7 linked regions of the Mus musculus genome follow. The main gene of each other region encodes a partner of the protein of the gene in region 4 in a complex. Links are inferred from orthologs where the notes say so. Each region holds a gene or a part of one and is shown on either strand. Other genes may lie near its edges.

Evidence for each region.
Region 1: B9d2 (region 4) and Tmem67 share a complex: the UniProt entries of both Homo sapiens proteins name them as parts of the tectonic-like complex. The link is inferred for Mus musculus from reciprocal best matches to the Homo sapiens genes B9D2 and TMEM67.
Region 2: B9d2 (region 4) and Tmem107 share a complex: the UniProt entries of both Homo sapiens proteins name them as parts of the tectonic-like complex. The link is inferred for Mus musculus from reciprocal best matches to the Homo sapiens genes B9D2 and TMEM107.
Region 3: B9d2 (region 4) and Tctn1 share a complex: the UniProt entries of both Homo sapiens proteins name them as parts of the tectonic-like complex. The link is inferred for Mus musculus from reciprocal best matches to the Homo sapiens genes B9D2 and TCTN1.
Region 5: B9d2 (region 4) and Tmem216 share a complex: the UniProt entries of both Homo sapiens proteins name them as parts of the tectonic-like complex. The link is inferred for Mus musculus from reciprocal best matches to the Homo sapiens genes B9D2 and TMEM216.
Region 6: B9d2 (region 4) and Tmem17 share a complex: the UniProt entries of both Homo sapiens proteins name them as parts of the tectonic-like complex. The link is inferred for Mus musculus from reciprocal best matches to the Homo sapiens genes B9D2 and TMEM17.
Region 7: B9d2 (region 4) and Mks1 share a complex: the UniProt entries of both Homo sapiens proteins name them as parts of the tectonic-like complex. The link is inferred for Mus musculus from reciprocal best matches to the Homo sapiens genes B9D2 and MKS1.

What each region holds. Positions count from the first base shown.
Region 1 is NC_000070.6:12,038,859-12,042,957, reverse strand, and holds the end of Tmem67 (meckelin precursor), read left to right. Parts: intron 1-2,180; coding exon 2,181-2,323; intron 2,324-3,065; coding exon 3,066-3,146; 3' UTR 3,147-3,599; downstream 3,600-4,099. UniProt on the Homo sapiens protein: Required for ciliary structure and function. Part of the tectonic-like complex which is required for tissue-specific ciliogenesis and may regulate ciliary membrane composition.
Region 2 is NC_000077.6:69,069,511-69,073,608, forward strand, and holds Tmem107 (transmembrane protein 107), read left to right. Parts: upstream 1-1,298; 5' UTR 1,299-1,436; coding exon 1,437-1,523; intron 1,524-1,713; coding exon 1,714-1,781; intron 1,782-1,863; coding exon 1,864-1,964; intron 1,965-2,912; coding exon 2,913-3,009; coding exon of another isoform or gene 3,010-3,088; exon of another isoform or gene 3,089-3,235; coding exon 3,236-3,305; 3' UTR 3,306-3,783; downstream 3,784-4,098. UniProt on the Homo sapiens protein: Plays a role in cilia formation and embryonic patterning. Requires for normal Sonic hedgehog (Shh) signaling in the neural tube and acts in combination with GLI2 and GLI3 to pattern ventral and intermediate neuronal cell types.
Region 3 is NC_000071.6:122,257,961-122,261,460, reverse strand, and holds part of Tctn1 (tectonic-1 precursor), read left to right. Parts: coding exon 1-54; intron 55-2,495; coding exon 2,496-2,626; intron 2,627-3,500. UniProt on the Homo sapiens protein: Component of the tectonic-like complex, a complex localized at the transition zone of primary cilia and acting as a barrier that prevents diffusion of transmembrane proteins between the cilia and plasma membranes.
Region 4 is NC_000073.6:25,679,339-25,683,579, forward strand, and holds the start of B9d2 (B9 domain-containing protein 2), read left to right. Parts: upstream 1-1,441; 5' UTR 1,442-1,640; intron 1,641-1,819; exon of another isoform or gene 1,820-2,044; 5' UTR 2,045-2,048; coding exon 2,049-2,136; intron 2,137-3,952; coding exon 3,953-4,078; intron 4,079-4,241. UniProt on the Homo sapiens protein: Component of the tectonic-like complex, a complex localized at the transition zone of primary cilia and acting as a barrier that prevents diffusion of transmembrane proteins between the cilia and plasma membranes.
Region 5 is NC_000085.6:10,552,964-10,556,996, reverse strand, and holds the start of Tmem216 (transmembrane protein 216), read left to right. Parts: upstream 1-1,233; 5' UTR 1,234-1,271; coding exon 1,272-1,284; exon of another isoform or gene 1,285-1,298; intron 1,299-1,832; coding exon 1,833-1,934; intron 1,935-2,375; coding exon 2,376-2,468; intron 2,469-4,033. UniProt on the Homo sapiens protein: Part of the tectonic-like complex which is required for tissue-specific ciliogenesis and may regulate ciliary membrane composition.
Region 6 is NC_000077.6:22,511,017-22,515,082, reverse strand, and holds the start of Tmem17 (transmembrane protein 17), read right to left. Parts: upstream 2,801-4,066; 5' UTR 2,600-2,800; coding exon 2,500-2,599; intron 1-2,499. UniProt on the Homo sapiens protein: Transmembrane component of the tectonic-like complex, a complex localized at the transition zone of primary cilia and acting as a barrier that prevents diffusion of transmembrane proteins between the cilia and plasma membranes.
Region 7 is NC_000077.6:87,851,991-87,856,014, reverse strand, and holds the start of Mks1 (Meckel syndrome type 1 protein homolog), read right to left. Parts: upstream 2,801-4,024; 5' UTR 2,766-2,800; coding exon 2,686-2,765; intron 2,279-2,685; coding exon 2,169-2,278; intron 1,038-2,168; coding exon 967-1,037; intron 544-966; coding exon 388-543; intron 1-387. UniProt on the Homo sapiens protein: Component of the tectonic-like complex, a complex localized at the transition zone of primary cilia and acting as a barrier that prevents diffusion of transmembrane proteins between the cilia and plasma membranes.

The sequences.
Region 1 (4,099 bases), on a different chromosome or scaffold from region 4:
TTATGTCTATAGGTATTTTGCTTGATATATGTCAGTGTGCCGTGTATGTGCCTGGTACCTACCAGAGCCAGATGAGGACATTGGAGCCCCCAGTTACAAGACAGTTGTGAGCCACGTCAATGGGTGCTAGGAATCAAGCCCAGGTCTCTGAAAGAGCAACCAGTGCTCTTAGCTGTGGAGCCATCTTTCAAGCCCCATTTTAAAAGAGAATTTTTAACTCCTTCCATGAGTGTTTTGTTCCCAATTCTAAAAGAATTTGTTTTGTGAGTTTCTCTTTATATTATAGAAATAATATTTAATTTGCACCATCAGCTATATGTAAATTGATCCATGGAGGTATGAAATACTAAAATTACTTCATAAATGTGTCATTTCATTATTCTTAACCTGTGTTTTTAAAGGTAAAAAGATCTGTCTAATTTGAGAGTATCTTAGCAGCATTTGATTTTGGTGAGGACACATAGTGAAAGCCACTGCTAATGGAATGGCTACTGAAGTGTGTACACTGGTCCAGTGTAGAGGGTGGGTGAGTTACCATGGCAGCATGGCGCAGGCTGAGTTAAAGAGATGAGCCAGCCATTGGGAAGATAGTTTCAAAGACTTCTAGCCTTTAGTTTAAAACCCAACTCCACACTCACTATCTTTGTGAACTTCAAAATGTTGCTTAACCTTTCTGATCTTTTAAAGCCCCTTTCTCTGTAAAGTGTGACCTTTAGTAAGACCTTCTAAAGGTTTTATGGAATTATCACATGCAAAGAACTTAAAGCAGAGCCTGTTAGGGGTAGGTGCTGGGTTAGGGGTGTTAGGGTACACGTTAAGAGAGGGGGTTGGGTACACTGGGAGAGGGTGTTAGGGTACACTGGGAGACAGTGTTAGGGTACACTGGGAGACGGTGTTAGGGTACACTAGGAGAGGGTGTTAGGGTACACTGGGAGAGGGTGTTAGGGTACACTGGGAGAGGGTGTTAGGGTACACGTTAAGAAAGGGGGTTGGGTACACTGGGAGAGGGTGTTAGGGTACACTGGTACAGGGAGTTAGGGTACACTAGGAAAGGGTATTAGGGTACACTGGTAGAGGGAGTTAGGGTACACTAGGAAAGGGTATTAGGGTACACTGGGAGAGGGTGTTAGGGTACACTAAGAAATGGTCTTGAGTATACTAAGATAGGTTGTTGGGTTCAGTAGAAGAAGGTGTTAGGGTACACAGAGATAGTGTTAGGGTACTCTAGTAGAAGTTGTTAGGATACACTAGGAAAGGGTGTTTGGTACACATCACTACTACCACCATCACCCATGACTTTTTTAAAAGAGAAGAGTAGAAGACAAAAATTACCTAGATGTCTAGATGTAATTAGTAGTGATGCTTTTCCTTAATCAGGGTATGCAGGAGGAAGACAAGGTTTGAGAGAAAGGACAAAGATTGTGTTGCACCTGAAGATAATTTGAGACATGTAGGAAAAGGTGTCATTAAGGAAATGTAACACAGCAGCTCTTGGGAGGAAGGGTCAGTGCACATTTGGATTTTTTTGTTTATTTTCCATGGTAACAGGGTCTATAGCACTTACAAGGTATTTTTAAAAGGTGTTCAGATTGTCAAAAGAACAGAATTGCCGGGCGTGGTGGCACACACCTTTAATCCCAGCACTTGGGAGGCAGAGGCAGGCGGATTTCTGAGTTCGAGGCCAGCCTGGTCTACAAAGTGAGTTCCAGGACAGCCAGGGCTATGCAGAGAAACCCTGTCTCGAAGAACCAAAAAAAAAAAAAAAAGAACAGAATTGTGTGTTGAATGCAAAGAGGACAAAACTATAGATAACTGACACGGGAATTCTCAAATGCTGGTGCTATGACTTGGATTTTTATCTTTTGTTCTTTATCTTAGACACTATCTCTAAGATTATTTTAGCCTTTACTTCTACATGCAGAGGATGAATATTCGCTAACTTCTCTTTAAAGTCATTCTTAGCATATGCACACCATAGCAATTATCAACATTTGCTTTGATGTTAAAACTACTACTTTTGAGTTTTTGTGAGTGCTTTGACTGAATTTTAGACTGGCAATTTTAACACCTTTTACTTTAGTGTGAGCCATAACATACTTCATGTTTAATCTGCTGTCACCAGAGGGTAGCACAGACCTTTTCTGACACTGTTTGACACATCTTGCACATGTTTTTTGTAGATGAAGGCCATTCTTTCAGCAGTGTGCTGTATTATGGGAACGAGGCCACGCTCCTCATCTTTGATCTGTTGTTCTTCTGTGTTGTGGATTTGGCTTGCCAGGACTTTGTTTTAGCATCCTTCCTCACATACCTGCAACAAGAGGTAAATCTAGCAGCATATCTTGATTTCTTCTCAAGCAGAAATGTTAGAAGTGGGGGTATTTATTTTCTTAACAGAATGGTAAGAGTATCCACTTTCAGTAGGGTTTGGTGAATGTTTAGAATATAATTAACACTACCAAAGGAAAGAGGAGCCACTCAACAGACCCCAGTGCACTCTGTCCCTGGGGTCAATAAAATACACTAGGATCCAGTAGAAGGAAGAAGTGGCTTTGTCACCTAGGAAGATACTTAACTGCCACCAGTCTCCCACGTACTAAGTAAGAGTGAGCATGAATTTTCCTAAATCCCATTCAGATAGAAGATGCAAGCACTGGGGATGTGGTCCAGGGCTGTAGCCAATTGCACACAGCCTTACTGTGTGGACTATTTCAAGAAATGGCACCCAAACCCTCCTGTGCGAGGAATGCATGAGTTACTCCATGGTTTATTATGCCTGGATTTAGAATCATAGACAAATTCTGCCCTTACCAGGGAGATATTTTTGATCTTTCCATAGCTTCAGAAGTTACATTCCTTGTGTGTTTAAAAGCATATTCTTGTGAGCATGAGAAGTATATATTAATTCATAAAACATTTCCTAATATGTGTATTTTAAAATAATTGTATCTAATAATGAAAATATCTCATTCATGATATGAAGTGGTTGGGAAATTAGCTAGTTTAATTTAGATATTTTAAATTGATTTGCATATTTAATTTTCTTAATTGTTTTGCCTTTCCAGATTTTCCGATTTATCCGAAATACAGTAGGACAAAAGAATTTGGCAACCAAAACACTAGTGGATGAAAGATTTCTGATCTAATCTGTGAATACAGAACTTAAGGACTCAGTATAATATGGCCAAGACTTGATGTTGCTATATTTTTTAAAACTTGTAATACATATTATTCTCCCATTTTTTATCTACAGAAAGATTTATTTTTATAGCTTGTGAAATATGAAATATAGTAAAAACACTCTTTCCCCATTATATGTTGTATTTAATTTACTAAATAGTACATTAACACTGACCAGGAGGCAAACATACAAACAAACAAAAACAAACAAGCCCCTCCCAGCCCCACTTTCTGTGCTGTCCCGGGTCTTGACAGCAGGCTGAAACTTGCCATTGTTTCAGAACATGACCTGCCTGCTTTTCCTCACGGTGTCAAATCTATTTGATTCTAGGCTCAAAACTACAGTTCTGCTCCGTATTTTCATGTTTTATTTATATTCAAGGTTAAATAAATTTCAAAAGGTATTTTCAAATTTACTTAAAATTTTGGTTTGCGTTATTGATTACTCTAATAACTCAGGCTGTCTGTCACTGGTCCCCATTAGACACAGCAGGGTGTGGTACAAATCCAGTCCTTTATGTATCTGGTTTCTGTGTCATTTACATTTGTTAAACTGGGTGATACTTTTCACAACATAGGATTTTTTCCACACATTTTGATATTTTAAAGAGTACTCCTCCAAAGTGTTGCTTTTCAATTATAACTAAATATTAAAAATAATAGGCTGTAAATAGATTATCTTATGTTGACTACTTTATTGAAAGCAAACTTTGGCTTCATGAGTCAGTAGATTATTTTCTACTAAGGAAAAAAAATGGGTTCAAGATACGTTTAAAGTCCCTTCCGGTCTGGGCTGGTGCCCTGAGCAGACCCTGGGCTAAAACACCACAGCCAGTCCCACAGCACTCAGAGGAAGCTCTACTCCCAGGCACTCTAACACTCCCAGGATCATAGGGACCCAGGACTCAGGAACTCTGCC
Region 2 (4,098 bases), on a different chromosome or scaffold from region 4:
CACCTCAGTCTTTTATAATAAAAGGGGGCGAGGGGGGGGCAATTCTTTTGCCTGGTTTGGGATCTCAGGTTCAGTTAGACACCCCCCTACCCCCCGTTCATTTAGAAGACCTCCAGTCTGTCTTTCATGACCTTTAACTGGCTTAGGAAAGGGAACCCCATGTATTACTTTAGGGAGACAGAATCATTTCTTCTTCTTCTTCTTCTTCTTCTTCTTCTTCTTCCTCCTCCTCCTCCTCCTCCTCCTCCTCCACCTCCTTCCTCTCTCTCTCTGCCAATTCCTTGAAACAAAAATTTAAGAAGTATCTATTTTCAAAGCTTCCCTTTGATATTATTCTAGTATTATCTTTTAATTTAAAAAAATTATAGCACGCATTACCTCGCTGGGTTTTGTTCTTGTTTTGGCTGTTATCAATCTCCCCACCTAGAATATAACCTGGAGGGACTTTATCGAGGTACTCTCAGATTTGGGGCACAGTGCCTGGCATCTGGGAGACATCAAATATTTGTTGAATAGATGAAATCCCTCTGGTCCTGAGCCTTGTCTTTTGGGCTGGTTTAGAGGCACAAAGAAAAAGGAATGGAGGGACCAGAGAGTGCAAGTGGGATGGGAGGTCCATTGACATGGGACTTGATTGTGAACTGGAAAGTGCTGAGAACTTTCCGATTCTCCGATCTGCAGGGATTTCATCCGAAGCCCCAAATCGGTCACATCACCCTAAGAAGAGGTTCTTGGTCTGTAACTGAGCAATGTCCGGGGCCTAACAACTCAGAGCAAGAGTGAAATCGGTGGTGGGTCAGCGTCCCAGCCTAGGCTAAGCGCAAGCAGTTCCAGTCCCCCGCTCCATTCTTCACCCTTTCAGATCCCCTCGGTTCCCGAGGCAGTCACCTCACCCACATCCAATTTTAACCATCCCAAGGCTGCTCATTTCTGCACTCGGCAAATCTCTCATGACACGGAGACAAGTTATTTAGGAAGAAATTAGAGTCATTCTTCGGCAAAGTTTTGCTCTAGGGCGGAAGGGGGAGTCCTCTGACAACCAGGGGCTAGGGGACTTAGCCTGACCCTGGGACAAGCTCGGTGCATCAGCCTCTCCTCGTTCGTCCCCTCGACTCCTAGCGCCCAAGGCAGTGAGTGGGAAGCACAGGAGAAGGGAGGATTTGGTGGTTCTGGCTGCATCCTCTTGGGTCCATCAACGGCTCACGTACCGCGCCTATAGACGTTGGTAGAGGGAGCAGCACTATCGCGAGACTTCCGAAAGCAGCAGCGTGGCGCTTGCGGACGCAGTTACCATGGCAGCCGGGCGGCGCCCGAGCGCGCGGGAAGGACACTTAAGTAGAGAGGTCTGGCCTGCTTGCTCAGGGAGACTTGATGAGTGACCCACCCCAGACTTCCAACCTCAAAACCCACGGCCTCCACTCGAGGCCCCCGAGGCCATGGGTCGGATCTCCGGGCTCGTGCCCTCTCGGTTCCTGACGCTCTTGGCTCATCTGGTGGTTGTCATCACGTTGTTCTGGTCCCGGGTAAGACGCGGACAGGGCGCGCGTGCGCGTGCCCTCCTGGCCCTCCCATTCTCATCTTGGAGTGGACCCAGCTCAGCTCAGTCCACTCACACAGGGTCCGTTCGTTGCTCCGTTCCCCGGCCCCTTCCCAACTTGTCCCCGCAGCCCCATTCCTCTTTTGACATTTCTTTCTTTCTGCCCGGCTCGCCAGGAAAGCAACATCCAGGCTTGCCTGCCTCTCAAATTCACCCCGGAGGAATACGAAAAGCAGGACAACCAGTGAGCTCTTGGGGCGGGGTGAGAGTGCAGGGGTCTTCAACAGAATCCAGAAACCTTGGTCCAAGCCCTTTTCTCTCTGCAGGCTGGTAGCCGCGCTCTGTCTCACCCTGGGCCTCTTTGCAGTGGAGCTGGCTGGCTTCCTCTCAGGAGTCTCCATGTTCAATAGCACCCAGAGCCTCCTCTGTATCCTTTTTATTTGGCCATCGTCCTCAGGTGACTCATCCCAGTTACCACTCTTTCCACCTCTGTAGGCCTTTGGGGCACAAGTGTCTGCTCTACATGGTAAACCGAATCTCTCTCTAGGTGAGAGGTTTTAGACACTGTTGGGGAATTAATAGACTTCAAACATTCGTTAAATCCGGATGTGAGCCAGGTTCTGGCGATCCCTGGATGGGAGTAAAATCATTTTATCCCGTTTGAAGAGGTGGCAGACAAACATCTGTAAATCAGTGTGATTAAACAGTATGCTTGTAGGTGTGTGTAAAATACAAAGCACTATGGGAACTCAGAAGGGACCAAGAAAATAGAGCCCAGGTGTGGTTCTGCAAGCCTTTAATCCTAGTGCACGGGAGGCAGGGGCAGGTGAATTTTTTGGGTTTTTTTAAATCTTATTTTACTTATATATTTAGGTTATCTAAGACAGGGTTTCTCTATGTAGACCTAGGCTGTCCTGGAACTCAGTAGACCAGGCTGGCCTCGAACTCCGAAATCCACCTGCCTCTGCCTCCCAAGTGCTGGATTAAAGGCATGCACCACCACTGCCTGGCTTGTTTTGTTTTGTTTGTTTGTTTGTGTTTTTAAAAAGGTAGCTCTTTACTCTTGAATTGTGGACAAGGAAGACCAGGGCACTGGAGAAATCCCCAGTGTATCAGATCTGTAGGTATTCTTGTGTGGCCTAGGGCATATATGACATTAACCTTCCCAGAAGTGTACAGAGTGTACAGGGAGAGGTCCTATCAAAGCAAACTCAGCTCTGGTCTCTTACACATAACTGTCCATAAATTCAGAAGGCATTGGCTGCCAACTCTGGCGCTTGTCTTAAGGGAAGGGTACAAGCTGAACCCAAGTCCAGGTACCAACGGGGCCCATCACGAACCGATTACTTTCCTTGACCCCCTCTGTATTGTTAAGCCATTGCAGCCCACTGTAGCGCGTCTGTGGCCCTGTCTTTCTTCGTATTCGAGCGATGGGAATGTACCACGTACTGGTACATTTTTACCTTCTGCAGGTGCCCTAGCACCCAATATTTTGGAATGGGGGGGGGTGGTGGAAAATCGATCCCAAATCTGAAGGTTTCCCCCACCTAGACCTTTCCTGCACATGTGAAATTGGTAGAGTTTTGAAGAGTCATACCCACCCTAACCCACCCGCATATAAGGTTTGGAGGTTCAAGTGTTTGGGTTGGAAGGGGCTCTAACTCCCCCCCCTCCCCCGCGGCCCCGTACTTTTCACAGCGCCTTCCCAGCTGTCACTGAAACTGCATTATTCATCGCTGTCTTTGGGCTGAAAAAGAAACCCTTCTGATCACAATCCGGGTGTAGGGACCAAGGCTGGAAAAGTGATGAAGCTTCCTCCCACTGCTGCAAGAAAAAGGCAGAGGCTTCAGTTTTCTCTCGCCCAAGTCCCTTGCTCCTCCCAACTGCGGCTAAGCAGAGGATGGCAGTGTTGGAATAAGATCTCTCAAATCTTGGATTATAATTTTATTAGAGTTTTGTAATAAAATTTATTTTATAACAAGAGCAAGGCGTATACTATTTTTCAGAAGACCATTGGATGGGCCAAGAGGCTGGTATAAATAAAGGCTTTTATCTTGTGGTTAGGGCTAGAAGTAATGCTTCTATTTGGGTTTTTACGCTAGAAGCTAGGCGGAAGTGAGTGGGCGGGGATATGCAAATAACTATCTCACATAGCGCTTCTAATTTGCCGCGTGTGAGGGGAGCATTCTGGGATGGTTTTGTTTCTCCCTTTTTGTGCCGAATGGAGAATAAAATACTTCAAACGACTTGCAAATAGATATTATTCTTGCGTTGCAAGAACTGTAAGTCACTGGGCTCGTGCTAAAGTGACGTATTCTCACCCTTCCTTTAATAGGAAATGTCTCTACTTATTTAGCAATGGGCTCCCTCTGCCTTTTATCGTCAGGAGGTTAATCCTTACCTGTTCCTCCTTTCGGAGGGCAGTAGAAAATGATGATTGGAGCTTGCATGATCTGCTGATTAGCATTTCCATGCAATCAGGACCTGACAACATCCTGGTTGCTCCTATCTGATTCCCTGGCGATCACACTTTTCCAATGTGCTGATTGGTAGACCTTTAC
Region 3 (3,500 bases), on a different chromosome or scaffold from region 4:
CTGCAGCCCTGCAGATTTCAGCATCTTCTCTGCCTGCTCAGTCCCAGTTGTCACGTAAGCATACGACATTGTCACGTAAGCATACGACAGGGAGGTTTGATGGCCGTTTGGCCAGGATGATAAAATGTGGGGACAGGAATCATGTTCCACACTCCTCAGAAGCCCTGTGGGCAAAACCCTGTGTTGTCAGAAGCAGTCACTTGTCCCGTGCAGCTGCTCAACAGTGTGGGTGATGGAGGGACACGTGTGTGTTGCCTCTAGAGTGTTATGAAGTTTGGAAATTAATATTTGAGCTGTGCACAGATAATGTGTCACCTCTTTGTACCTGTGAAATAGTCTCATGGCAGTGTGTGTGTGTGTATGTATGTATATATATAGATAGATAGATAGTGTATGTGTGCATGTATGCATGGGTGTGCTTGTCTTTGCATGCATGCATGTTGGCCTGTGGAAAGCATGGGTCTGTTCATTTATTGCTTTCCACCTTCATTTTTGAGATGGGGTCTCTCACTGAATGTAGAAATCATCCCCCTAGCCTACCCCCGATCCCCGGTTGACAGATGGCTAGCATCCTCTTGTCTCCTCCCCTGCCCGGTGCCCTGTTGCAGATACACATCAGAGCCTGGGCTTGGTTTGCTTTTGAAATCCATGCTGGATATCATGCTTCTTTAAAATCACCCTTCAGAAGCAAGTACGTTCCCCACTAGGCTGCGTCCCCAGCCCCTGTTCCTGCTAGGCCGCCTCCCCTGCCCCTGTCCCCACTAGGCTGCCTCCCCAGCCCCCGAATCAGCTCTCTCTGGGGACTTGAATTAGTCAGGGTGCTTTGTGTGCGTCTCTTTGGATGTAAGCGAAGCAAGGCTTCTCAGTTCCCAGTGCATGGGAAATGGCAGAGGTGGAATTCTCACGCAAGTACAAGTCGAAGATGTGATCAGCTCTGAGTGATCTCGGCTTGTTTGTCAGAGGTTTTTGTAACACAAAACAAAACAGCCCTTTAAGAAAGGTTTAAGCTCTCAGGATGGGACCAGCAGATGGAGCTGACTGAAATGCAGGACAGCCACCTAGCATGCTTAGTCCTTTTGGAAACACAATGGACTCTTCCCAGGAGAAACCATTTTATCAGCCTAATGGGGCAACTGAATTTCCTCCAGCATTGTGAAATAGCCTGGAGAGCAGGTGCTAGCGGGGTCCCTTCCTGGCCTCCAAGACCAGAGCGTGTTTAGCCTTCCCTGAAAATCAGTCCGCTTGTCTTGAAACTGCAAGCGAGCCCTGACAGCCCTGAGAGAATGGCGGCTTTTGAATTGAGTGCCATTTATTAAATTGAATATTTTTTTAAGACAGGGTTTCACTGTATAGCCCTGGTTGTCCTAGAACTTATATATAGACCAGGTTGGCCTCAAACTCAGAGATCCACTTAGCTCTGCCTCCCAAGTGCTGGGATTAAAGGTGTGCACCATTGCACCACCACGGCCTGGACACCCATACAACTTTTAAGAGCTTCCTGTTGGCTGAGGGAGATGAGTGAGTGAGCCAGGGCCTGAGGAACACCAGGGAATGAGGTCGCCTCAGCTAGGCCAGGGAAGGCCTTCCTGAAAAGATGGTCTGAGCTGTCCTGTATGAAGGTTACCCACAAGTTATGCAGCAGAAGAGAGGAGGGCAAGGTGGCTCAGTGGGTAAAGGCGCTTCTTGCTAGCCTGAGTTTAATCTTGAGGGCCTACATAAGAGGAGAACTGACCCTTGTAAATTGTCCTCTGACTTCCACACGTGTGGGATGGAAAAAAGTCACACACACACACACACACACACACACACACACACAATAAAAATACTCAAAGCAAACTTCCTAGTATGTTTTTATATTTATTTTTTTATGTGTATTTGTATGTGTGTGTGTGTGTGTGTGTGTGCACTCATGCACATCTGTGTGTATCTGTGTGTGTCATGGGCAGCACCATACATGCAGTGCCTACAGAAGAGAGCATCAAAGCCCCTGGGACTGGAGTTACAGGTATGAGCTGCTTGCTGTGTGTTCTGGGAACCGAGCCTAGGTTCTCTGTGACAGCAGTAAATGCTTAGCCACCGAGCCGTCTTTCCAGCTCCCAGAATGTCATGATCTCAATGGAAAGTGTTCTGCACTTTACTCCACACCCAGCAGGCTTCCCTTAAACAGTGTTGTTGTTGTTGTATTTTCCGAGTTAGGGTCTCACTGTATGGCACTGACTAATGTGGAACTTGCTGTATAGATCTGAACTCCTAGACTCACTTGTCCGGACCACCCTGGTGCTGGGATTAAAGCCGTGCACTGCCACAGCAGACAGAATCAAAGCCTCAGGACCACCCTCGTACCCGCAAGTAAAGCCACATGGAGTCTCTGCTGACCTGACACCTTCATCAGTGTCCCTTAGTCGTATTTCTGTAGTGAAGGCATCTGAGAAATGTAGGGTGATCTGGCTTAGATTGTGGACTGAAAACTTGCTGTTGCTTTCTTTGACTTTCAGGGGTGACAGGCAGTTTTGTAGTCAGAAGGCAGCCTTCTACTCAATGAATTTGACAGCAGACCCACCTCACCGTGACTTTAAACTCATTGATCAGATCAATCCTTCCGTCTTCTGCATCCATATTTCAAACTGTAAGTATTTGGATTAGATTTTAAAAGTTACTGTGTGGAAGAGCACCTCCTCACTCAGCTCCATTTAAAGCACCCAGCTTCTGTGTTGACTGTGTGAATAATTCAAACCCCAGGGCTGATTTACAGGCAACTTTATAGATCCTGGGCACACACACTGTCTTCAAGAATTTGCTCTGTAGCTGCCTTTATCTTACACTTCAAAGATGCCTTGTAGTCAGAGAGATCCAAGTTGTGTGTGTGTTTTGTGTGCATGTTTGTGCATGCACGTTTATTTCCTAGTAGAGTAATGGCTAAAAATGAGTCTCATTTTTAAATGTTACCTGTGGTTTTCCATTTCCTTTTTCTTTTTTATTTTTACTTAGAAGATTTGCATGAATACAGGATCTTTATTTTTAACCCGAGCAGTCAGCTCAGGCGAGTGTGTTGGTCCCCCATGCTCCTGAGTGCATGCTGTTCTCGGGATAACAAGCCCACTCATAGCTCTGTCAGCTAAACCTCATCATCTCATTCCCATGTCTTTCCATGTTTGGCATTTGTCCCCTCATGACTGAAGACCTGGGGGGAATGTGCTTATCCAAAGTGACAAGTGACAGTGACTGTCTAGCCATAACTGCAGCCAAGTGGACATGGAGCCTGCCTCCTCTTCTTCCTGTCACTCACAGCACAGGAAGTGGGTGCCAAGAGATGAGTGGTATTTTCTGACAGCCACCCACGGAGAGTGTCCCCTAGAAGGAGAAGAAGCAGACTTCCATCCATGTGCTAGACAGACAGAGCAGCCTGACCCTTGGCTTCTGCTGTGTCGTCTCCCTGTAGGCCTTCAGAGCAAGTACTGCCACACAGTTAGATGCAGCCCAGTCGAATGATCCTGCTCCTC
Region 4 (4,241 bases):
GGTCTCAAGTTCCATTCTTACCGTGTGTCCTGGGTGGTCACTACTGCCTGCAATGCACTCTCCAGAACGCCAGATACTCTCCTGTAGCCTTGGCAGGCACTGCATGCACCTGGTGCTCAGATATACGTGAAAAACACCAGTGCAAACAACAGATGTTTAAAAAGCAAGCACACAAAAACAGTGGTGTTAGTGTTGGTAACACATATCCTGAAAATTGGAAGGAAAAAAAAGTGGATAGCTTCTAGGGACAACCTTGGAGGTTGGTGAGCTAGCTTCTGGCCTCTACATATGCACCATACAAACAACCACCCATACACCTGAACACACCACACACACACACACACACACACACACACACACACACACACCACACAGACGAGCTATCTTCTGGCCTCTACATATGCACCATACAAACAACCACCCATACACCTGAACACACCACACACACACACACACACACACACACGACTTAAGTTCTTGTTTTAGTTTTAGTTTGTTTGTTTAAGGGGGATTGGCCTGGAACTCACTTAATAGCCCAGGCTGGCTTTAAATTTGCAGCATTCCTCCTGCCTCAGTCTCTCATGAGCCACAATACTCATCATAAAATTTTTAAAATTTGTTTCCGACTTGGGAAAAAAATATATATATATAAAGGAGAGAGGCTTTCTTCCCTGACTTCCTGCCAAAGGGGCTTCTTCCTTCCTTTTGTAGGATTTATTTTTATTATTTGTGTATGCCACCTGTGCGCGGGGCAGGGGTTGAGGGTGGGAAGTGTCCTCTGGGACGCCAGAAGAGGGCAGAGTTGGAGCTGGAGTTACAGAATGCTGGGAACCGAACTCCAGTTCTCTGGAAGTGAGGCAAGCGCTCTTGTTGCACCATCTCTCCAGCCCCGTCTTCCTCATTTATCTTTACTCCAACCTGTTTGTTCAAAACCAGCTGCTAGAATGAACTTTGCAGTGACTCTGAGAAAGAACTTGGACTTCTCAGTCCTTGAGAAATCTGAGGAAGCTCTGAAAACTGAAGAGAAACCCACTTCCCAATTTCTCTAGTGTCAGAATATGGAGGTCCTTTTTTCCCCTCCAGCTACAACATAGAGATGACTACTATGGGAGTCCCTTTAGGTGCCCGTTTAGTGTCGGCTGGCTCCATTCTGGCTGTGATCCTGAACAGGAAAGGTGTTTTGTTTTGAGGAAGCAAAGAGCATCAATAGATTTGCTTATTGCGTGAAGAAGATATGGAGAGGAAACAGTTGGCGTTCTAACTTCCTCAACTGCTGATAGAGATAACCCGCCAGGCCTCCCACTCTGGGGCGTAAGGCGTCGCAGGAGCAAGACCTATGCAATTCTCGCAAAAAAGTCCCGAATGACCGCGTCCATCACGACTACGCCCCGCCCCCCAGAGGGCAGCTATAGCACCAATCATCAGCACGCAGGGCGGGCTCAGGGGAGGAACCTGCTGTTGCCCCAGCAACAGTCGGGGCACCCCAGGAGAGCGAGGCTGCGGATCTATCTACCTCAGATCTCCCTCCGCCTGGAAGGGCCCGGGAGGGGAGCGAGACTAGTCTCGACGGCGCCCGCAAAGAAGCCCGTGAACTACCATCCCCGAGGCAGCTTTCACTTCTAACGGTCAAGTACGCGGAGGTAGGAATGACGCATGCGCTACGCCTACGGGCAAGGGTAAAGCGGCCCTACACCCGAGACGAGACGCATGCGCCTTTTGAAGCTTGGCTGATCTGCCGCGAAGGGGCGGGGCCTTGCACATGTGGGCGGGGCCACAACCCTGGGGCGGGGCTTTCTAAGCGTCTGAGCCTTGGTTTATTTATTGGTGCAGGTTCCCACACCTCTGGGAGACTTCCCCATTTTTCTTGGGCTTTTCTGGGGACGTGGCTTGTATCTGTGATGAAGGCCACATTGTCAGTGGGTTGGTGGAACTAGCTTAGAATCACAGTGCTGTTCTTTATGTGATAGGCTTCAGTTTTCCCAGCTGTCAGATGGAAATAATACAGTTACCTCACAGGGTTGTGATTGAATTTTTCCTTTCCTAGAGCCATGGCTGAAGTGCACGTGATCGGGCAGATCATAGGGGCCACCGGTTTCTCGGAAAGCAGCCTCTTTTGCAAGTGGGGCATCCACACAGGTATCCTCCTCACACCTTGTTCATCTCCCAAACAATACCCAGCTCCCTCCCCTAGCCTAAGTCTCCATGTTCCTTCCTCGATTCTCCAATGAACTCATACTGTTTGCTTCTCTTTATCCTTGTCTTTCATGTTATCTCACCATCGGAAAACATAGCCCCTAAGCATATGGGGCTGTGACATAGAAAACACGCGCGCACACACACACACACACACACACACACACACACACACTTCCTGTCCTCAGGCCAGTAGACAAACTAGGTGTGCTTATGCATATCTGTAATTCCAGCACCTAGGAAGCCTTCTATTACAAGTTTGGGGCCCTGTCTCAAAGAAAAGAGCACAAAATATATACAAGATTATTGTAAGTTCTAGGGAAAAAAAGAAAGTGATGTGCTGGGGGCTGATTTGGGATGTGGAGGTCTGAGATCAGAGAAAGCCTTTCTGTGCAAGTGGCACTTGAATTGGGGGGCAGGAGGAAAACAGCCGGAAATGGGCACCCAGTAGCAGACGTTTCAGGGCAAAAGGAACAGCCGCTGCCAAGGCCTTGAGGCAAGGGAACAGGATGGGACCAGTGAGGCTTGAGGGTGGGGAGCGGCAGTGGCAGATGAGTGACAGGATCCAGGTCACACATGGGCCTTCGTGGCAACAGTGAGGAGTCTGAAAGCTTCGTGTGTGTGTGTGTGTGTGTGTGTGTGTGTGTGTGTGTGTGTGTGTGTGTTGGGAGGGGGCAGTTAGAATCCCAGAGAGCAGATAAGGTGAAGGCATTGCCCAGAGCGTTTAGCAGAGCATCTGGGGTGTAGTGCTCAGTATGTGGGCACTGCTTCTCCTTGCTCCTCACTGGGGTTGTGATGTGCTCGCAGATGGTGCCCAGTCTCTTCTTGGTCTTTGACGGAGGCTTCTGAATGTGGGGTGCATAGAGGAAGGAAAATGCTGGGGATCTCGTCACCCGGGGAGCGTAGGTCATCCTTAGCTACGACAGAGGTTTGAGGCTAGCCTTGGCTATATGAGACCTTGTCTTAAGAAAGGAGGCTCTCTGTTGGTGCTGAGAGTGCAGCTCATCAGCAGAGCATAGAGCGTGTGCCTCTGGATCACATCGCCAGCTGCAGTCATGAGGATTAACAAGTGAATAATATTTTAAAAATTCATAGTTCATCCTTGCTATGTGAGTCCTCTCATAACTTGTGAGATTGTGTTTTTTGTCGCTTGTTTTATAGACAGGGAAACAGAGAGAAGCTACTCTGCCAGGGTTGCATCAACTTGGGCTGGGGAGTGTAGACTGTTGCTAGAGAGCTCTTGCATATGTACTGCTCTAGGTTCCATCCCTAACACTGCAAAATACAGAACACATATATGAATCGTGCCAGGATTTCTACACGGGATTCTCTGTGTAGCCCTGGCAGCCCTGGGAACTCCTTCTGTAGACCAGGCTGGCTTTGAAGTCACAGAGATCAGCCTGCCTCTGCCTCCCCAGGGCTAAGACCAACTGTGTGCACCACCACTGCCTGGCTTTATTCTCTCTCACGTGCTCTTCAACCCCTCCAATTTTTCTTTAGAGACTGAGACCCACATTGTAGCCCATGCTGACCTGACACTCATCAGGCAGCCCAAGAAAGCCCCAAACAAACTCCCAAGTGCTGAGATTTCAGATGTACACTGCCAGTGCCAAGATCTGGATCCAGACACTTGGCTCTAGAGTCTACACTGTGTAACTCCCACTCCCAGATACCAGAGGGAACAAACTCATTGCCACGGCAGGTCCCCTTCTTGAAGGTTGCTATCCCCCAAACCCTGATGTCCTGGTTCTCATTACAGGGGCCGCATGGAAGCTCCTCTCAGGTGTACGAGAAGGCCAGACACAGGTAGACACACCCCAGATAGGGGACATGGCTTACTGGTCCCACCCCATTGACCTGCACTTCGCTACTAAAGGTCTCCAAGGTGGGTACAGGATGACAGGATGGGGAGGGGCAGTCAAACTAAGAGGAGCTGGGCTTGGAACACCATGGCTGTCTGCTCCCTGTACTTTGTGGGTCCCTTTTCTGGTACAGCCTCCCCTAGAGCAGTGCATTTGAGGCCTCACCCGAGCTATTCAGAACCCTAG
Region 5 (4,033 bases), on a different chromosome or scaffold from region 4:
ATCATCTCTGTTGACAATGGGTAAACTTTTCACTGTAGCATGAGAACTATATGTGTATACAATATCAAAATGTTTAGGCAGAGTGATTTAAGACCCATAATTTACAAAAACAAGCAACTGGTCCACCCTCCTTTCCTCTGAGACTCAGAGCAGGGGTGTGTATGAAGGTAGTTCAGATGGGGTGCAGGGACCAGGGCTTTCTCCATCACCTCACCTTGCCGTGGTCCTTTAGTGGGAACTTAGAATTCCATTTAAGACCTGCCAGAACATTGTGACACCCACTTGAAACCCCTGTACTGGACGGGAAGCAGAGGCAGGAGAATTTGAGGCCTGCCTAGCCTACATAGGAGACCTGTCTAGCCAAACTAAACCAGACCTGAATAAGGCAGTGGAAGGCACAAGCAGAAGTGAAGGAGGAAGGAGAGCAGAGGTGGAGGTGGGGAGTGATGGAGGGAGGCTTCTACTTAAATTATTCTCCCGGAGTGAGGACCTGCTTTGAGAAGCAACAATTACTGCCTTTATCCACACTCCTACTAGGTAGGGAAATAGCACTTTCATTACAGGTTACTTACTCTCTCCCGTTATTTGTTGACTGACTGCCATACTCTAAGGGCTGACAGCTGGAGTCTTTTCAGAAATCTTACTCTTTCACCCCCTGCCTGCAACAACACGCTCTTGCTTCAAATTGCGGCCAGGGTTCGTTCATAGCGCAAGCTTGTTGGAAACATTTCTCAATTTCCAACTGGCCAGACGCTGTCTCCTTTCAACACCCTTGCACTCTTTGGGTCGCAGGAGAATCTCATTATAGCACCGCTGTTTTCCCTTGTACTCCTAGAAAGGACATTCTATCTTCAACGGTTTTGGTGTTTACATAGGCTCCAGGTAAGCCTTTTGCACGACAGTGGCATGGGGTGTTTTTAAAAAAAACACATGCAGTAGAAAAGAGAATGGTGGGCGCAGGGCCGATCCTCCAACTACTCGGCCACACCGGGCCACTAACGACCTACGCCATGACGCCGGGGATGGAGAGAGTTCAGCTGGAGAAGTGTTCTGGTCTCTCTGCCGTCGTTTAAAACCCCATCCTCCCCCTAGACCACTGTAGGTGGTTGACGGCTGGCGCTGTTCTGTGCATGGGCGCGGCCGGTGGGGTAACCATAGAGTAGCACCGGCAGGCAGAGCGGCCAGAAGACCGGGCGGCTCGGTGCCGCGCTTCCGGCAGCGCCGCATTGCTCCGGGCGCTGCAGTGTACGCAGTTTCCATGGGGACTGAACATGGCGCCGCGAGGTGAGACTCTGGAGGTGTGTGTCTCTGCCCCTTATCCCACGGGTACCTGCCAGCCCCCTCCACCTCTCTGTCTCCAGAGCTCGACCTAATCCTCCATTTCTAAAAGTCGGGGTCTTACTCTTCACTTGTCTAAATCGGGCTTGGGTTGTTCTGATCACCCCGAGTGCCTGCATGGGTACTCGAATACCGTACTCTTAAAAATCCCCGGCTGGCCCTATTCTGGGATGGCTCAGTTATGAATCCTCCCGCCTTGGACAGAATTAGTTTCTGTGCCTCAATTTCCCCCTCAGAAGTGACAGGGTTGAATATTTGAGGTGCCTCTCAGCTGTGATTATAGCTGAATTGTCAGAGAAGTAGATGTCAAAGTGATTCCTGAGAAAGGAGATTGAAGGCAGTTCCTGCCACACCAACACTCACGTCATTAGCAATCAGAAGTTTCTCCCTCATTCACAATAATCTTGTGATTTCTCCGGATTACAAAGAACCTTCACACAGAACAGAGTAGAGCTCTAGCTGCCCTGCCCATTCTTTGTTTTGCTTTCTTTCAGATAAAAGATTGTCCTCAACCCCCCTGGAAGTCCTGTTCTTTCTGAATGGGTGGTACTATGCTACCTATTTCCTGCTGGAGCTCCTTATTTTCCTGTACAAAGGTAAGCCTGGGCCTATCTGCCTCTGCCCCAGCAACCCTTTTCCACTTTAGCATACTCCAAGAACCTTCTATCTTCTGGTCCTAGCGGCATCTCCATTGCAAGGCAGAAGTCTCTCCAACTAATGGCTTTAGAATGATCAAATAGGATGTCTTTCAGCAAGACTTGAGTTTGAGAAATGTGGGTTTCTCCATCCCAACTCTTTCCCCATCTCTCTTTACTAAAATATTCAGATCTGTGTACCATTATAATTCAGTCATTTGGCAGAGTCAGGACTTGGAAACTTAAAGCCTGTAGCTGTAACAATCTATACCTTGCTGATTTGTGAGATGTTAAGACTGGTTGGTATCCTTGTCCCGGGTTTGTGGCCGTCCATCCTTGTGGGGCCGTGGGGCTGACCGTTAGCTAGGTGGTGTGTGCATACTCTGGCTTTCCCTCCTGTAGGGCTCCTGTTGCCGTACCCAACAGCCAACTTAGTCCTGGATGTGGTGATGCTGCTGCTCTATCTTGGCATTGAAGTCATACGATTGTTTTTCGGTGAGTGTTGTTCAGAAAATATTTCCATTGCTTATGAGACATGCTGGAGCCTGTAACTTGATTAACAAGACAAAGAACCTAGGCTCACTATCAGAGTGGATCTGGTAATGTATATACCATTGCTTCTTCCCTGAGGCTTCAAGCTGCCGCTTCATATTCTAGGTCAAGGTTTACCTGTGTGTTTGTGAGTGAGGCTAGAAGCGGGCAGTAGCACTGATCTTAGACCAGTCCTCCCAGCTGCCTGAGTGCCACAAGAGTGCCTGCGTCTTCTCCTTGCTCTGAGAGAGGAAAGCAGTACATTCCTAAAGAGCTCAAGATCCCCTCCGCTTCTCTAAACAAGGATTTCTCTAGAAGTTCCTAGACACCAGAGAACAGAGCAAAACTGCTGATTACTTAGAATATATCATCCTAGTGCGAAAATACAAACCTAAGGGAGAGAATGGTAAGGGATACTAACAGTCAATTCACAAAAGTCATTATAGAGGACCAAAAACCTTGCTAAGGTGAGCATGGTGGCACATGCCTTTAATCCCAGTACCCTCTGGCAGAGACAAGGGGATGGCTATGCATTCAATTAGACATAATGAATTCCAGTGCAGACAGGGATGCGTAGTTAAATAGATCTTAAATAGATCCTAGCTAAAAAAATAAAACAAAACACCAAAACAATAACAACACTTGCCAATGTGCTCAAACCTAGTAAAGAAAAGCAAGAAAAATAAGGTAAAAAAATTTTTTTTTATATATTGGCATTAGTCAGAAAGATTTATACAGTACAGTATCCATATTTGGCTTGTGATATACATATTTTTTAATTAAAAGTCATTATTTTATGCCGATGGATATTTTGCCTGTATGTATGCCTGTATACTACATGTATGTCTGGTGCCCACAGAGGTCAGAAGAAGGTCTTAGGCTAGAGATGGCTCAGAGGTCTAAAAGGACTTTTAAACCTCCTGCTTTTGCAAGAGGACCCCAGTTTAGTTCCGAGCATCCACATCAGGTAACTCACAACTGCCTGAAACTCCAGCTTCGGGGATCCAATGTTGTCTTCTGGCCTTTGTAGGCACACACAAACACCCAAGTGAGAATTAAAAGTTAAAAAGAAGAAGAAAAGGGCATCAGATCTTCTGGAACTACAGTTACAGACTGTTAAGCTGCCATGTGGGTGAACCTGGGCCCTCAGGAAGGTCAGCAAGTGCTCTTAACCACCCATGATCCATCTCTGTAGCCCTAAAGAACAGATATTTTGTTTTTGTTTTTTTGTTTTTTCGAGACAGGGTTTCTCTGTGTTGCCCTGGCTGTCCTGGAACTCACTCTGTACACCAGGATGGCCTCGAACTCAGAAATCCGCCTGCCTCTGCCTCCCAAGTGCTGGGATTAAAGACGTGTGACACCACGCCCGTCTAAGAACAGATATTTTTAATGCACTTAAATTATTGTACATATTAATTGAAGTTTTAATGTATATACACATTTGCATACACACATGCATATTATAGCTATACATATTTTACATATACACATATAAATTACTATGTGTATACACATGGATATATGTATAC
Region 6 (4,066 bases), on a different chromosome or scaffold from region 4:
AAGAATTTTTTTTTTTTTTTTTGGTTTTTTTTTGAGACAGGGTTTCTCTGTGTATCCCTGGCTGTCCTGGAGCTCACTTTGTAGACCAGGCTGGCCTCGAACTCAGAAATCCGCCTGCCTCTGCCTCCCAAGTGCTGGGATTAAAGGCGTGCGCCACCACGCCCGGCAAGAATTTTTTTTTTCAAAAAGGTTTATTTATTATTATATGTAAGTGCACCATAGCTGTCTTCTGACACTACTATCTGAAGAGGGCATCAGATCTCATTACGAGTGGTTGTGAGTCACCAGGTGTTTGCTGGGATTTGAACTCAGGATCTTTGGAAGAGCAGTCAGTGCTCTTACCTGCTGAGCCATCTCACCAACCCCCTCAACAAGAATTTGATTATAAAAATTGAACCCTAAAAATACATTATAAATTTAACTACATTCTTATTTTAAATTGGTTGTTCTAAATGTAAGAATTTAGAAATTACAAATTCCTTGAGACTGTTTTTTGTTTTTCTCTGCATAGTTTTTTTTTTTTTTTTAATTGACATTTAATACTTTTAAAACAATCATGGGGTTGGAGGCTGGGAAGATGGCTCAGCGGGTAAGAGCACTGACTGCTTTTCCAGAGGTCCTGGACTTAAATCTTGCACCCACATGGCAGCTCACAACTGTCTGTAACACAAGCATACATGCAGTCATACAAGCATAAACGCCAATGCACATAAAATAAAAATAAATAAATTAATGAAAAATTCATGGTCTCTAGAAGCAAATTAAGTTTTAAGAGCAAGGCTGACTATTGTGGTCTGCTTTTTCTTGCTTTGACTTCTTAAATTATCCCAAATATAGGAATGATTTTTTTTTTTCCAAGTCGGGGTTCTTTGTAAAGGCCTGGCTCTCCTGGAACTTGATCTGAAGACCAGGCTGGCCTCGGCCCCTGCGTGCTGGGAGTACAGGCATGCACTACTACCTCTGGGCTAGGAATTTTTAAAATTTGTTAGCGCTAAGGAAAATCCACTAGGATTTTTTTCATTATTATTATTTTACTTTGGGCAACAGTACAATTCTTGATCCATTGTGGGTGTGATCTTACAGTCAGATTCGCCAAGAAGAAAACAGGAAAGTAATTACACACTAGCTAAGCTGATACTTTTAGAACCTTTAGAGCAGAAACTGTAGTCTTTTTTTTTTTTTTTTGCAAAGAGACTGAAGCAGGAATATTTCAAGATCAAAGCCAGTCTGGACTACTTAGAAAATTTCAGGATAGCCCAGGTACTTCTTGATTGCATTGTAACCAAATAAATTTTGTTGTTGTTTGTTTTAAAGGCTATGGGGATATAGCTTGAGAAGAGTGGCTGTTTAGAATGTCAGGGTTTTGATTTTATGTAGGCTCATGTCCATACTTCAACACATCAAATTTATACAATTGAAAAATCAGACCAAATGAAGAGGAACCACAAGGCACAAGGTGTGAGTTCATTAAATTTTACAAAAGTTCCAGTTAAGTTCTGTAATGAGATAAAATTTAAGTATTATATAATTGGTCAGACAAATTTTTCTGACCAATTAATTGCCTGTCTTGGCAGAGACAGTGAACTTAAACAGCTTTTCTCACGTTTGAATGTCTGGGAAAACAATATTTTCTGACACGTAAGAACCATAAGAAATTACAGGGCTGATGTCTTTACCTAGTTCTATTGCTGTCCACACCATCACGACTATCTAGGCTGCTGAGGCTCTAAAGAACTTCAGAACAAATGTCACCCCCGCCCCCCCCACACACACTTTTTTTCCCAGAGACTTTGTATTATTCGATTTTAGTGCCCCGTACGGCTCACACTTTGAATCGGAAACACGAAATCCTAATTTTACAGGCTTTTCTCCATATAGCGTAAATTACACGAATGACCAAGGTGACAACATGCAATGATGGCAAGTGGTTTGCTTTTCAATGCCCTATTTAAGAAATAAAAATAAAAATAAGAAAGCCCAAACCAAGCCATCGAAAGGATTTCCAATTCCTTGATTTCAAAGGAGACAACCATGTATGCTGTCCTCCTGATTGAGGAGGCAGAAGCTGGAGTTAACTCGTTGGTATTTCGTTTTTAGATTTCGGGAGGAGAGTTTTTTATACAGGGAGAAAGAAGGAACAGGCAGAGGAAGGCCTTGTCGGTTTGGCAGCAGCCGGTCTTGCTCTGCTAGGAGGGGTTTGGACACAGCCCGGTTTTGTGTGAGCCGGCGGCTGTCACGCTGGGGACTCAGCGGGGACCCGCGTGGGGAAGAAGGCGTTCCTGATCCGCATCCTGATCCGCTCGGCGACCGCGCCACCGGGTGCAGTAGCTGCGGCGGCGGAAGCGCGTGGTCTCCCGGGTCCGCCGCAGGGCCGTGGTTTCTCCCGGGGCACAGAGCCCTGGCTGAAGCCGGAGCAGCCATCTTTCACCCGGGCACGGCCTGTGCGGCCTCCCGCCCGCGAGCCACACCCCCGCGTGGGCCTGCGCCCTCGCCACTCACCGGCCGCATCACTGGACTCTGGCCCGGTGCGGCTGGAGTCGCCGAACACGGTGAGGCTGAGGTTGCTCAGGCGCTGGCGAACAGGGTCCGGCAGCTCCATGCCTGGCCTGCCCGCTGGCCTCTCACACACCCGCTAGTCGGCGGGCACAGCGGCGCGTGGCGGTTCCCTTGGCAACCGGGCAGTGCGGGGCCCCTAGGGACCTGGTACCTGGGCTTCCCCGAACGCTACAGAATCCTCCAGAGGCTTCCCCTTGGAGAGGCGAGCCAGGGCCACGGGCCCGCAGCCTAACGTGGCCTAGTGCTGCTGAAAATGGCGGGTTCCTCCGTCTTGCTTTAAAGCCGCGTCGTCTTAAGATGATCACAAGTAATAAGCCATTCGGACCTGGGCTGAGCCACAAGGAGCTCTCACACCATAGCAATTCCTCTGCAAAATTGGTGCACCATTTCTTGAGGGAAATGGAAAACGAACATAGATATTTTAAAAAAATGCCCTTGACATTCTTTTTATTATTATTAGATATTTTCTTTATATACATTTCAAATGCTATCCCGAAAGTTCCCTATACCCTCCCTCTGCCCTCCTCCCCTACCCACCCACTCCCACTTCTTGGCCCTGACATTCCTCTGTACTGGGGCATATAAAGTTTGCAGTACCAAGGGGCCTCTCTTCCCAATGATGGCCAACTAGGCCATCTTCTGCTACATATGCAGCTAGAGACATGAGCTCTGGGGGTACTGGTTAGTTCATATTGTTGTTCCACCTATAGGGTTGCAGACCCCTTCAGCTCCTTGGGTGCTTTCTCTGGCTTCTCCATTGGGGGCCCTGTGTTCCATTTTATAGATGACTGTGAACATCCACTTCTGTATTTGCCAGGCACTGGCATAGACTCATATGAGACAGCTATGACAGGGTCCCTTCAGCAAAATCTTGCTGGCATATGCAATAATGTCTGGGTTTGGTGGCTGATTATGGGATGGATCTCTGGGTGGGGTATTCTCTGGAAAGTCCATCCTTTCGTCTTAGCTCCAAACTTTGTCTCTGTAACTCCTTTCATGGGTATTTTGTTCCCTATTAGAAGGAGGAATGAAGTATCCACCCATTGGTCTTCCCTCTTCTTGATTTTCTTGTGTTTTGCAAATTGTATCTTGGGTGTTCTATGTTTCTGGGCTGATATCCACTTATCAGTGAGTGCATATCTAATGACTTCTTTTGTGATTGGGTTACCTCACTAAGGATGTTCCTCAGAAAATTGCCCTTGACATTCTTAAGAGGGTGGATGAGCCAAGCATACCTGCTTCAGAAGACAGGGAAATAACTTAAAAGTATTGAAAGCAGTTGTTTCTGGAATATAGGTGATTTTAAAACTAAAAATATCAGCCTTTCCCTGCTTTCTCTTAAGACATATCATTTTAGCATTTAGAAGGCAGAGACAGGAGATCTCCAGTTTAAGGTTAGCCTGGGATACATTGCAAAATCCTCAAAAACCAAAACAAACCATTAGGTGTAATAGACATAAAGAAAAGCACAGTCGGATGTATTAGGTCCCAGGTCAGTCAACAGTATCAT
Region 7 (4,024 bases), on a different chromosome or scaffold from region 4:
AGTAATGGAAGAGAATGTAAAACAAGCCCACAAGGGCTCAGGGACACAGGCTAAGACACAGGTATCCCCACAGCCTAATCATGTTCCTCTTCTTGCCTATAAACTCCTGACTTTGACTGAATTGTAAATGGATTGTTCTAGACCCTGCCCATCTATGTCATCAATTCCTATGCTATCAGGTCCCATGGGCCCTCTGACAGGCAGAAGGACATCACCTGCATCTGCCCACTGCAGCCTGGCTGCCAGCAGCTTCCAGCAGCTTCTAGAACCATCTATGTTCTATATCGCCCCATTTACTGGGCTTTCCACTTACAACCTAGAGCCAGCGAGGCTAGAAAACCAGGGGAGACAAACAAGAAAGCAATGAGGGCCCAGAAGGAATGATACCTCTTCCAAGTCGGTGTATCTATCCGAGTCAGTGTAAGTGAAGATTCGCCGGTTTTTCCTGCCGCCAGAATTCTCCAGTTTCAAGATCTCTTGGCGGTACTGATGATCCAGTGGGCTCTGGCACGCGGATTCATTTTGGTACAGGTCGACTTCAAACTGAGGTCACCACAAAGAAACAGATCAGCTGGGACTACCTCAAACTTCGGTTCCTGCAGCTACTGAACCAAATCACTTCTAGCGCTAGCTGACACGTTTTGAAAACCGACTGTCACTTTGTTCAAAAAATGAAGGGCAGGGGGAAAAAAATCTAAGAATATTCGAGTTAAAAGGATCCAAGCTGATGTTCTAATCCAACCTTGTTGCTAGAGATGTTATAGAGCCCGGAGATGGGGAGTGCCTTACCTAGAACGCTAAACTGAACATGGCAGCCGTTATATTACAATAGCCACATAAACATAACATAAACATAAGTATAAGCCACCACAACCTTTCCTGGAGATGAGTTTGACGGTATGAGTCACTGGCCCGGTGGGAGTCAGGTAGGTGGAGGTAGACTGAAGACAAGAAATGCTGGCTCACCTGGCTAAAGAGCTTTTCCTGCCATCCAATTACAACCTCTTCCTCCTCTTCTTCGTCAGGGCGGTGTCCACCTCCAAACACAACAGAGTGAGTCAGACCAGCAACATTTCTTCCTCTCTGGTTGATTACAACCAGTGTTCCTATTCTTGTCTCATTTGGGTTTTAAAATTTTTTGCTATTGTTGTTTGGAAGTGTCTCATTCTGCAGCCCGGTCTGACCTCACATTCCAGATCCTCCTGCCTCGGCAGAAAAACGCTGACATTACACGTGTATACCACCAGGTCTGCCTTCAAAGTCCCTACTCACATTGACCGCAAACCCCACTGGAATTTAGTGACTCACTAAGCGCTCACTCTAAACATAGAATGCAGGTGGTGGACATACTTTGGTTAATACTAGAAGCAAGATTAGGGCCTGAGGTGTCCTAATCATTACTCTAATTTGAATAAAAGGTAGCTCTGCCTTCCAAGAAACATTCTCTAGTCCCGTATAAGGCACTAGAGTTTAGCTAGAGGCTGAAGGGCCAGCCCTTCCTCAATCCTGGCTGAATTTGCTAGATAAGGACCCTGATGTTTTTCTGAAACCACCACCGAATCATCCAGAAACACAAGATGCATGATTTGTGATCTGCCAGGCTACCCTTTTTGCCTAAGAATATTTCTGAGTAGAAAGAACAATGACAAAAGCATGAAAAATTATTGGCCAAACACGACGGTCCTGTCCTTTCTTTTGGCTTTCAAGGCAAGAGGAAAAAATCATATTTTCGTGCAAACTCCTGTTTTAAAATTGTTTTTTAAGTGTATTTATACATACATTTGGAGTTTGGAACATATTTCTCTTAGAAGTCCTTTCCCCATCCCCCAAGTCACAACTCGGGTAAGATGGCTCAAGCCCCAGGATTCATCTGGTGAAGAGATAACTGAACTGGTTCGCAAAAGTTATCCCCTGAACTTCACTCTCGCACTGTGGCATGGGCGTGCACACACACACAAAAGTAAATTACAATGTAAAAAAATAAATAAATAATAAAAAATTAAAAAGATGATTGCCCAGGTTCATTCAAATGCTTCTATATTCCTCGGCTAGGTGACACTGGGCAATAAACTCAACCTCTCTGAGCCTTCCGTTCCTCCTCTGTACCTCTACTGCCCCGCACCCCTGCCTTAGTCTCAAATGAATGTAGCGTCATCACAAACACCCACTAGCAGCTTGCGGAGGCCTAAAAGTGGCCAAGTCTATGAGGTCCTTCCCCATCTGGGCAGCAGGCTGGTAATGAAGGAAGTTGCTTGATGTGATTCTTTGCAGATGAACTCTGTCAAGAGAAGAGAAGCCCCAAATACGCGTGTCAGAGACACACAGCAAGGAGATATACAGAGCATGAATCGGGGAAAGAAATCACAGAGGCAGAGAAGTCAAGGCTGCTGCAAAGAAGAGGTGGGTAGGGGCGTCTGCTGGATAAATCAGCACAGGGACCCGAGGGGTTTGAAAGTGGCGAGAACTTGAAGGGACTTGGGCAGGGTGAATCTGAAAGGTGTACTTGGAAGCTTTCAGTGGAAAAAGATCCTGATAACAAGACGCGCGCAGAGATGGCAGAGGAAGTAGTTGGGATTGTAAGCGGAAGTAGGGGCCTCTGAGCATCTAAAAGCTTAGGGTGGAATAAAGTTAGGGGGCCTCGGAGCATAAAGTTAGGGGGCCCTGAAACTGGGGTCGAGTGACTACCGGAGGCGCAGGTTGCGCACGGGGTCCCGGGAGCGATACACGGCCTCGCCGGTGTCAGTGCTCCAGACCGCTTCCGCCATGACAGCTGCTTCGCGCTGCGACCGCGCCGGAAAGCGTGGTGCCTCGTTCCCCTGGCAACGGAGACGCTGGCTTCTTAGGCAAGGGAGGCGCTGCGCGCGCAGCTCTCCACGTCTGCGGGAGCCAGTCCCTAGCCTGGCAGCGGGACCCTCAGCTGTCCTGTGTGAGTAAAGCTCACCTCCACCCAAGGTGAAAGTTGGTGCACTGCACAAAAGAGAAAACCGCCATCAGCTACTTTGTTTAGGTGCAAAAATGGTGATGGTGGCCAGAACCAGGTGACCTGAGTCCTTACTTTCTGATCAAACACTGCCTTCCACTGAACATTTGAAAACTTCGGCCTAGGGGGCGTGGAGAAATGGCTTAGTGGTTAAGAGGTTAGTGACTGGACTTTCAGAGGAACTAGCAGGCCCAGATGGCCACTCACACCTGTCTCTACTCCAGTTCCAAAGGGTCAGACACCTTGCCGCCTTACAGTACACATGTGTTGCACAAACATGTTCACCATTATGCATAAAATAAATTTAAAAAAATTTAAGGAGAGAAAACTCAGGCCTAAACAGTTGGTGGATATGACTAAAAGGACATGCAAACAAAAATTAAAAAACAGCCGGGCAGTGGTAGCGCACGCCTTTAATCCCAGCACTTGAGAGGCAGAGGCAGGCAGATTGCTGAGTTCGAGGCCAGCCTGGTCTACAGAGTGAGTTCCAGGACAGCCAGGGCTATACAGAGAAACCCTGTCTCAGGAAAAAGAAAAGAAAAGACAGGAAAAGAAAAGAGAAAGAAGAAGGAGGAGGAGGAGGAGGAGGAGGAGGAGGAGGAGGAGGAGGAGGAGGAGGAGGAGGAGGAGGAGGAGGAGAAGAAGAAGAAGAAGAAGAAGAAGAAGAAGAAGAAGAAGAAGAAGAAGAAGAAGAAGAAGAAGAAGAAGAAGAAGAAGAAGAGAAAGAAAGAAAAAGAAAAAAAGAAAGAAAACATTCCTGGAAGAAAAAAAACCTGTGGGGCAGGTATATTAGTAGTTTTGTTGGTATGCACTGAGCCAGAGAAATAAAAAACAAGGAAGCCAGCAGAAAGGAAGGAAAGGGTGTTTTCCCTGGGGCATGTTGGTTCTGGATTATTAACCAGTTAAGACTCCGAGCCAGCCCCTGAAAAACCACCAGAGTGACATTCAGAAGTCATGGTTCACTGGCACATCCAAGGAAAGATGGTATAAGTTTAATTCCGGCAGTTTGGCAATATCAATATTGACAATTAGTATTTGACGGTT